2 linked regions of the Caenorhabditis elegans genome follow. The protein of the gene in region 2 interacts with the protein of the main gene of each other region in a pairwise test. Each region holds a gene or a part of one and is shown on either strand. Other genes may lie near its edges. The genes, in order: rad-23 and hum-8.

The links.
Region 1: the proteins of hum-8 (region 2) and rad-23 interact in a two-hybrid assay, tested with the Caenorhabditis elegans proteins (2 studies listed by BioGRID).

What each region holds. Positions count from the first base shown.
Region 1 is NC_003280.10:11,650,605-11,654,890, reverse strand, and holds rad-23 (UV excision repair protein RAD23), read left to right. Parts: upstream 1-2,161; 5' UTR 2,162-2,162; coding exon 2,163-2,234; intron 2,235-2,280; coding exon 2,281-2,364; intron 2,365-2,413; coding exon 2,414-3,217; intron 3,218-3,271; coding exon 3,272-3,283; 3' UTR 3,284-3,629; downstream 3,630-4,286. Other genes in the region: nep-1 (Neprilysin-1), read left to right, coding at 319-418; rpn-12 (26S proteasome non-ATPase regulatory subunit 8), read right to left, coding at 798-932, 984-1,379, 1,453-1,528, 1,575-1,630, 1,675-1,764; coa-7 (Cytochrome c oxidase assembly factor 7 homolog), read left to right, coding at 3,743-3,841, 3,888-4,286.
Region 2 is NC_003282.8:437,418-442,451, forward strand, and holds the start of hum-8 (Myosin motor domain-containing protein), read right to left. Parts: upstream 3,138-5,034; 5' UTR 3,128-3,137; coding exon 2,926-3,127; intron 2,308-2,925; coding exon 2,033-2,307; intron 1,669-2,032; coding exon 1,374-1,668; intron 1,320-1,373; coding exon 1,222-1,319; intron 1,179-1,221; coding exon 1,014-1,178; intron 941-1,013; coding exon 572-940; intron 1-571.

The sequences.
Region 1 (4,286 bases), on a different chromosome or scaffold from region 2:
ACTGAAACACTAAATTCCGAGAATGCGTATTACATAACATATTTGACGCGCAAAATATCTCGTAGCGAAAACTACAGTAACTTTTTAGAGGGCTACTGTAGTGTCGATTTACGGGCTCGGAAATTTATTTATTTTTCGTTTAACAATCGAAACCACTACAGTAGTCATTTAAAGATTTACCTCGTGAGTTTATTTCCATAAGTAGACGATTTACTATTTACATGTAGTTTTCGCTACAAGATATTCAAAAATATGTTACGCAATACACATCATCGTTCATTCAACTTTTTTGGCAACAATTATTTATAATTTTTTCAGAGTGAACACGGTTCTAACAAATCAGCCAGAATTTGCCGAGGCTTTCAAATGTCCAGCTGGATCTCCGATGAATCCAACGAAACGCTGTGTTGTGTGGTAATCAGAAAATACGGGAAAGGAGTCAACCAAGTTGGCACGCTTTATCTATCTGTCTCTCAGAATCTACTAAATCTTTCGTCCTTTTTTTTTACTCATCTAGCTGTATATATTGTTGAAAACAATAGACACTCGAATTCACTGTATTTTGTCCCTCTATGTATTTTTTCTCGAATTTTTCCAACTTCTTTTTTTGGTATATCATATTGATAGATGTTCTTGTTCATTCCAGAAATCTTTGTGCAAATAAAATTTTCAGATGTAATTAAAACTTGCTAAAACAATGCATCGGAAAGTTCATTTTCTTACAGTACCGAGAAAAAGACGCGAATAAATTAAAATCAGTTTACAAATACAATGCTTGAGTTCTTGAAAGACACCGGTTAAACGATTTGTTCGAGTTGCTTGGCGTAGAAGAGGGTTTGAGTTGCGACTCGCACTGTATCCAAATTCACAGGCTTCTCCTGAGCCACCTCAATTTCGAAAACGTAACGCTCTCCATCCAAATGCCATTTTCTCTGTAAATAAATATATTTTTTAATACTTGTAGCTTTAAAAATCATTATTACCTCTTGTCCAAACTTTTTCATTTGTTCGTCATTGTCGAACAGAAGCATGACCGTGGCATCCTTCGCTGTCAGAACTTTGAAAGACTTCTCGATAGATGTTGCGATTTCGCGACGGATGGTGTCAAGCATAATACGAATGAAAATAGTGTAGAAGGGGCTTGGAATATTCTTCTCGGTGAGCACAACCTTGTTGTAGGCTCCTTCCATGAGACTCTGTTCAATACGAACTGGCGTAGAGATGTAAGCGTTTGATGTTTGCTCTTTCTGTGGAATTTGTTCGAGGAGCATGTGGAAGTCGGACAATCTGTTGGCAGCGAGCAGGAACATCAGATGGAGTCCAGTCATTAAATGCTTGTTTTCAGAATTTTCTGGCGCCATTGTATAGTAGGTATGCATCTGGAAAATTAAAAATAATTTACAGATCGTTAAAAATTACATAAATTTTCCAAATAATTATTTAAAGACTCACCTGATTGATGTAATCGTCGAACGTTTCGAAATCGTGCTTCAGAATTGCCAAGAGCACCGAAATCTCGTACAAATCTCTGAAAATTAATAATTTAAACTCATTACACCAAAGAAAAATCTTACTTTGAAGCCAATGCAGACTGTTTATCATTCAAATCGCTGGAGGCACTGAGAACCTTCTGAAAATTCAATTTATTTACAATTTGACAAACAATTAACTGACCGTCAACTCATTCAGAGCCTTCTCAACTGCGACAAGATCTTTTGGCTCCTTTGCCCACACAGCCAGAAGATTTTTATGGGCGGCAGACATTTTCTTAAATCCAATAATGTTTTAATTTGATAAAATCGAAGATAAAAGTTCACGATAAACACAAGTGAAGTTAAAAAATAAAAATAAAACATTCAAAAAAGAAATAAACGCATTCTCCGTAAATCGACACAATGACAATTCTGGCAGGTCTCGCCACGAAGAGTGTTCAAATCATGTGCGCCTTTAAGACGCCAAGCCATTTTCTCTTCTGTTTTTTACCACTTATTTTGTTCTTCAAAATGGTTTTTTTGTTTTGTTCTTTTATTAATAATCAAATGTTTGTTTATTTTATACATATATACTGCTTGTTTTGCATTAATATCAATCTGTTATCGATATTTATTTCTTTTTCTTTCAATACATGACTCTATTCGTAACATTTCACAATTTTTTGCAGGATGGTTTTGTCCGTTACATTCAGGACTCTCACACAAGTTAACTTCAATTTGGAATTGAATGAAGATCAGACGGTAAGATTAGAGTTAATGTTCGACTTGTATTTTATTTTTCTTTCAGATTGCGGAAGTAAAGGCTCTGGTCGCTTCGGAGAAAGGGGATGATTATGCTCCAGAACTTCAAAAATTAATCTACAACGGAAAGGTATTACAGTGAAGGCTCATAATATCTTTAAAGTATGTTTTTTTTTTAGATTCTCGACGATTCTGTGAAGGTCGGAGAAGTCGGATTCGATTCTTCGAAGTTCGTTGTTGTGATGCTCAGCAAAAGGAAAGTCACAGAAGTTGCACCTTCATCTACCGTTGCCACAGCTGCTGAGCCTGTTCCAGTAGCTGCCGCTCCTGCGTCAAACCCAGCCCCAGCTGCCGATGTTGCTCCTGAAGCTGCTGCTCCTGCTGAGGCGGAGGCGCTTACGGATGAGCAAGAAGAGAACGTTCTCGCAATCACTGGAATGGGCTATGACCGTGAACAAACTATCGCTGCTCTGCGCGCAGCATTCTGGAATCCAGACCGCGCAGTCGAGTTTCTTCTCAACGGACTTCCTGATGATGCTGCTGACCAAGAACCAGATTTGGGGCCCGAGCAAAACATCGATAACGTGGATGAGGATGGCAATGACGATCTTAACATGCTTGCAAACATGCCACAGCTTGCAGAAATTAGAGCTTTGATTCAACAAAATCCTGAAATGCTCGCCGCAGTCCTTCAGCAGTTGGCTGCTGTCAACCCAAGACTTGTTCAGACTATTCAGAACAACCAGCAAGCTTTCATGGATCTTTTGAATGGTGGAGCTCAAGGAGCCGGAGCCGCTGCAGGAAATGCGCCAGAAAGAAACACCCCACGTCGCCATGTTATCCATCTCAGTCCCGAAGAAGCTGCTGCTATTGAGAGAATCAAAGCCATAGTTGTTAATGCACCAGAAGCTGTGGTTGTGGAGGCTTATTTCGCATGTGACAAAAACGAGGAAGCCGCTATCAACTTTATTTTCAGCAACCTCGTGAGTTTATTTCCATACGTAGATAATTAGAAGTTTAATTTTTAATTATTTCAGGATGAGGAATAATTATCTTACCCATGCCAATAACTTCTGATCACCGTCACTGGAAATTGCAACAGAAATTAATTTATTCTCTCTCCCCCATTTCCGTAAAGCTTATATTCTTGCTCCTATCAGCCTAATTTTTTTATTAACACTTCTTCCAAGAATGTGTATTCATCGCCTTCTCGATTGCCCTTTGTCTATATATTTAAGATAATAACACATTCAGTTCCATGTGCTGATTGTCACCCGCTACTGGTAGGCACTTCGTTGAAATTCTCGTCGCGTTCAGCGAATTTTGTGTGACATAATTTCGGTATTGTAATTCCCTTTTGTCATCCAACATTTTCAAATGAAAGTCAAATGTTTTAATGATTCTTCGTTTCGATTTATCAAACTTTACCCAATGAGTCATCACGATTTCGTACTCCAATATCGGTCGTTCATTTCTTCTGAATATGCGCTAATTCACTTTACTTGAAGATGTCTGGAAAAATAAGCGAAGAAGCTATGCAGGAACAGGCCGAAAGGGCGGAATATGTGAAAAATATTGGGATTGAGTACAGATTTGGATGCTACGAAGTGAGAAATTTGAATTTTCAATCTTTCTTTGAAGTTAAATTTTCAGGAAAAAAGGCCAGAATCCTGTCAATTGCTCGGCGAATACATGGAAGCTCTGCAACAAAATTTTCAAGCGGCCGTAGCGATTTTCAAGAAGAACTGTGACGAGAACAGTTATCCAAAGTCATGTTTCAAGTACGGAATGTACATGTTAGCCGGAAAAGTTGGAGACGATGCAAGTCTGTCAAAAATGATTCGACCGATGAAAATCGCATGTGATGCGAATATTCCACAAGGATGTCGATATTTATCACTTGTTCATTGGAATGGAGAAAAAGATCGGAAAGCTGATTCAGAAAAGGCTGAACGATACATGAGAAGAGCCTGTGAACTGGAAGATGGTGAAGCTTGCTGGTTGTTGAGTACCTGGTATATGGGAAATAAGGAGAAATTTAAGACGAATGCT
Region 2 (5,034 bases):
GTGTACGGTTAGTGCTGCAGTGAGCATCTTTGAATGCTCCCCCTGTGCTCAGTTCTGATATTTCGCAGCTAAAAACTTACATTGTACTGTTTCTCAGCATGGGATTTCACATGAAACAAGTTTCGCTCAAAAAGCCGCTGGCACCTTCAGACCCTTCCCTAGTTAGTTTTAGATGAAAGTAATTTACATAGGTTAACATATAAATCTTCAAACGCTTTTTCAAATATTTTTCTATGTATTATATTTTAATTAAATAAGGAGTAATGGCTGTGGGTACTATAAAAAATCAGCTCAAAAATGGGCAAATTTTGTTGTTCTAGATTCTTCTTTCTGTGTAAACAAGTAGTTTTAGCAGACATTTTCGAGATGTTCTCAATTTACTTATTGCTGAAATTGAGAATGTCTCGAAAACGGTTTAAAAGAGTAAATAAAGCCCACATTATTCGAAAAGAAATTCATTTCAAAAATCGAGCCCCGTAAATCGACACAAGCGCTACAGTAGTCATTTGAAAAATTTCTGTAGTTTTTCGCTACGAGATATTTTGCGCGTTCCATTTTCTAGGTCGCTCACCTGCATAATCCTTGCACACAATCCCATCTTCAACTCCATCGTTTCGAGACCCAAAAGCCTGGCAGCTTGAATTAAATCCTGCTCACTTCCATTGAAAACTTTACATCCACCTCTTGAATCATCCAAACTTTCCTCGAACTCAACATTTCCCAAGTGAAGAATTGCGGCGATTGTAGTCCAAATGAAATGTATTTCTTGTTCCGATAGTCCAGTTAATTTCAGAGCGTATTCTAACCGCTGAAAATCCGAAAAATCGTCCACCATTGAATCCTGGGTGAACTTGGGGTCCGATAGCCGATTTTTAGGGATTTTTGAAGTTGTACCAGATGAAGGATGAGTGAAGAAACCAATGAATCCACGTTTAAGGTACTACAATTGACAAATCCATTATTGCAGTTGATTGTAATTCATTCGTTTTAAACAAAATTGTATGAAAACCTACATTAAACTGATTAGGTTGACCTAATGCCAAGAATTTGAAAAGTTCCGGTGAACTTCCTGCAATCAGTTGATAGAAAATATGATAATTACGTTCTCCAGCTGCTTGACGACATATTCTCGAAGTTTCCAGAAGATAATGTGAAACATAGCCACCTGCCACGTTTCCCTACAAAAAACCATGTGTTGACCGATTCATCAATGGTACTCACGGTATCCGCAAAATGAATTTGCACAAACTTCCCGAATCTACTCGAGTTATTGTTACGTAACGTTTTAGCATTTCCAAATGCTTCCAAAATTGGATTCGCTGAAAATTTTAAAGGAATAATTTTGATAGTTTTCAACACCAAAAACAACGTACTTTCCAACAATCTCTTCTGAATCTCTCCGGCACCAGAACCCCAATTCTCACATAAATACCTCAAAACTGCTTTCTGTGATTCAGTTTTTCCTGCTCCTGATTCTCCAGACACAATAATCGATTGAGATTTACGATGTCTGATCATTTCTCGATAGGATTTATCGGCAATCGCAAAGATATGCGGCTCCTTCTGTCCAAGAGACTTTCCACGATATTCCTTGATTTTTTGCAAGGAGTAAAATCCATCAATAGTTTGATATGGGTTAATTGATATGAGAATGTTGGCCACGTAGGACTGTAAATTTGAATTTAGTTCAAAGTTTAAAGTTGGCTAAAAGGTGGAGTAGCGCCTGTCAGGAAATTGTTAAAAACCACTCCTATGTTGCCGAAATGCCAAAATATCACGTTAAAACTGAGAAAACATTTTACATTTTTTTATTTTTTTGAGAAAACTATAGCATGTTCGAATCACTGCAATGTTTGAATAAGAACACTTGAAACATAAATAGAGCATAAAATTCGATGGAAATTTATTTAAACTGTTATTTTTTTCAATTTTCAAAAAATCATATGAAAATTAGAATTTTTTTAAAACAATTTTTCTACTATGATATTTGGCCATTGTGGTGAGATAAAAATGTCTATTTAAAAAAACATACATAAATCTTTCCATTTTGATATCTCAATCTAATATTATTCAATAATGTTGCCTCATTCAAATGCATCAGTTGACAATTATCTTCCACGTGTCTTCTTGAGTCATCTTCGCAAGCCAAAACATCTTCAAAAACTCTTGTCACAGTATCACCAGTATTATCCAAAAGGCGAAGTGTGAATCCAGTTGCTGATAAATCAATTATACGGGCGGCACGGAACCCGTCTGTTGCATCTGTTATCCACACTGTTCTTCCATAGTCCGGAGGAGGCTGAGACACTGAAATCATGGAGCGACATTATGGATGGAGGTCTACTGTATTCAGTGTATTCAATGTATTCAATTGATATCTTGCCACGTTTTACTATCAATTGACTAATTATGGAATATTATCCAACAAATATCTACATCATTTTCAATATGCTACTCTTCATTAGCTCAAATATAATGTTGCAAAATATTATTTCAAACTGTAGTTATTATCTCGTTAGAAAAACTGCCACCTACAGTATTCTCAAAAAACAACATTCAGTTAAAAAAAATTAGGTACGATGCAGTTTTTGCATTGATAACTTGATAAAGTTTTTACTCAATTGTGAGGTTTCATTAAAGGTATATTACCGAAATTTTTAAATTTTTAAATGATTCCAAATTTTCCTCTGATTCCAAATTTCTGAAGTAAGTGAAAAAATTCAAAGACCTTTCCCTGATTTCATATTTCAGCTTGAAATCGCGACTTTAATTTGTGCAAGAGTTTTTTCAAACATCGAATTATCGCGAATAATATTTTGTAAGCCTCAAAATGACAAGAGAAGTTGAATAAAAAGTTACGATGTGACCAAGACAAACATTGTGAAAATGAATAAAAAAGTTGAAAACATTGTTTTAAAAACAAACCATTTATTCCAACTTTTTCAGCTCTTCTCTCAGTTTTCTTAGGATCCACAATGTCACGTGGAATTGTTTTCGGCTCAAATGTCCCAATGCCACGTGACTTTTGGGAAGAAGACTGAGCCGATGTTTTCAAAATTTCCGGAGGCGGTTTAGGAGGTTCCGAATTTTCTGTGATTTGATGTTTTTTGTTCAACGTTCGTAGCATTTGTTTTTCTGGAAAAAGTAATTTTTTGTAAGTAAAAAGTTGTCGAAAAAAATTGCAATAAGGACATGATGATGTGAGAATAGGGTGGAAAATTGTGTTCGATGTGTTGACTAACATGTCAAATTTCATGAGAAAATAGTGTGTGATTGGCGAAATCAGACACAAGAGTACACATCAACAGAGGCACCTGCGAGCACCTTCGGTTTCACTGATAAGGAAATTGATAAGACTCACTTTTTGAAAAAAAAAATTGGAATTTAGTTTTTTTGTTGAAATTTTATGGCGAATTTAACATCTTAACCGGGGGTGTGCGGCAGGGGTGTGCGGCAAATCTCAAAATTTGCCGAGCTCGGCAAATTCGGCAAATTCGGCAAATTTGCCGTGCTTAACAAACTCGGATAAATTTGATATTTTTTATGTTTTTTGGAGCACCAAAACTACTGAATTCTTAACACACATCTGGTTTCTGAATAAGTTCCGCGTAGTATGTCTGTTTAAGCATCAAAATAGCTTAATTTTGTGTCATTTTACTAAATTTTTGGCTAAAAAATCAATAGTTTTAGTCAAAATTGTACTGTCAAATTTTTGACGTGTGCGGCAAATTTCGAAATTTGCCGAGCTCGGCAAATTCGGCAAATCTACTTTTTTGAAATTTGCCGTGCTCGGCAAATTCGGCAAATTTGCCGAGCTCGGCAAACGGCAAATTCGGCAAATTCGGCAAATTTGCCGCACACCCCTGGTGTGCGGCAATCTCAAAATTTGCCGTGCTTAACAAAATCCAAAAAATGTGATATTTTTTGCTGTTTTTTGGAGCGCCACAACTACTGAACTCTGAACAAACATTTGGTATCTGAATACCGTATTTCTTCTATTAGTATGACTGCAATGCCATTTTTCGATGGTCTTCCCGCTTGCAATACTAATAGGGAGTGCAATACTAATTTTCAGAACATTTTTTTTGACTTTGAGCTTACTAGTTTTTTCTGAATAAACTCGAATCTTATGTAAAAATTCAGAAAATATGATTTTAATTGTAACATATAAGCTTAAAAATTTCAATCTCAAAAAAATTTCAATTTCAAAAATTTCAATGTTGTGAGAAACTGTTGCAAAATAGGCAAAAAATGTTGTTGAAATCCTCAAATTGGCGAGACGGGTTTGCAATAAAAAAGTAAACGCAAGACTATTAGGGAGTGTAATACTAATTTTCGGAGGGTCTCCGAGGGGTAATACTAATAGGGAGTGCAAGTCTAATAGGGAGACCATACTAATAGAGGAAATACGGTAAGTTCTGTGTCGTGTATCTGTTTAAACATCGAAATAACTTAATTTTGTGTCCTTTTACTACAGTTTTGGGGACGAAATCAATAGTTTCGGTCAAAACTGCAATGTTAAATTTTTGATATGTGCGGCAAATTTCGAAATTTGCTGCTCGGCAAATTCGGCAAATCTTCTTTTTTGAAATTTTCCGTGTTCGGCAAACGGCAAATTCGGCAAATTTGTCGCCCACCGCTGACCTCTCCAGAAGTGTGCGGCAATCTCAAAATTTGCCGAGCTTGGCGAATTCGGCAAGTTCGGCAAATTTGCCGTGCTTAAAAGTGGTGTAGTCTAACTTTTTAAAAATTACTTTATGAGACTAAAAATTGTCTGAAAACGCTGAATTTCATACTGACCCTTCTGTAAAACTTCTCAAAAAAAGTTATGGTCAAAAAAAAGTTAAAAAGTTATAATTTACAAAATCTCTTCGTCCATCGACTTTAAAATACTCAAGTCGAGTTGAAAACGCAAGATTTGAATTAACTGGTATAGCCAGTTGGCCAAATTTACAGTGCACGACAAATTCGGCAAGTTCGGTAAATTTGCCGAGCTTAACAAACTCCTAAAATGTTATATTTTTCAAAGTCTTT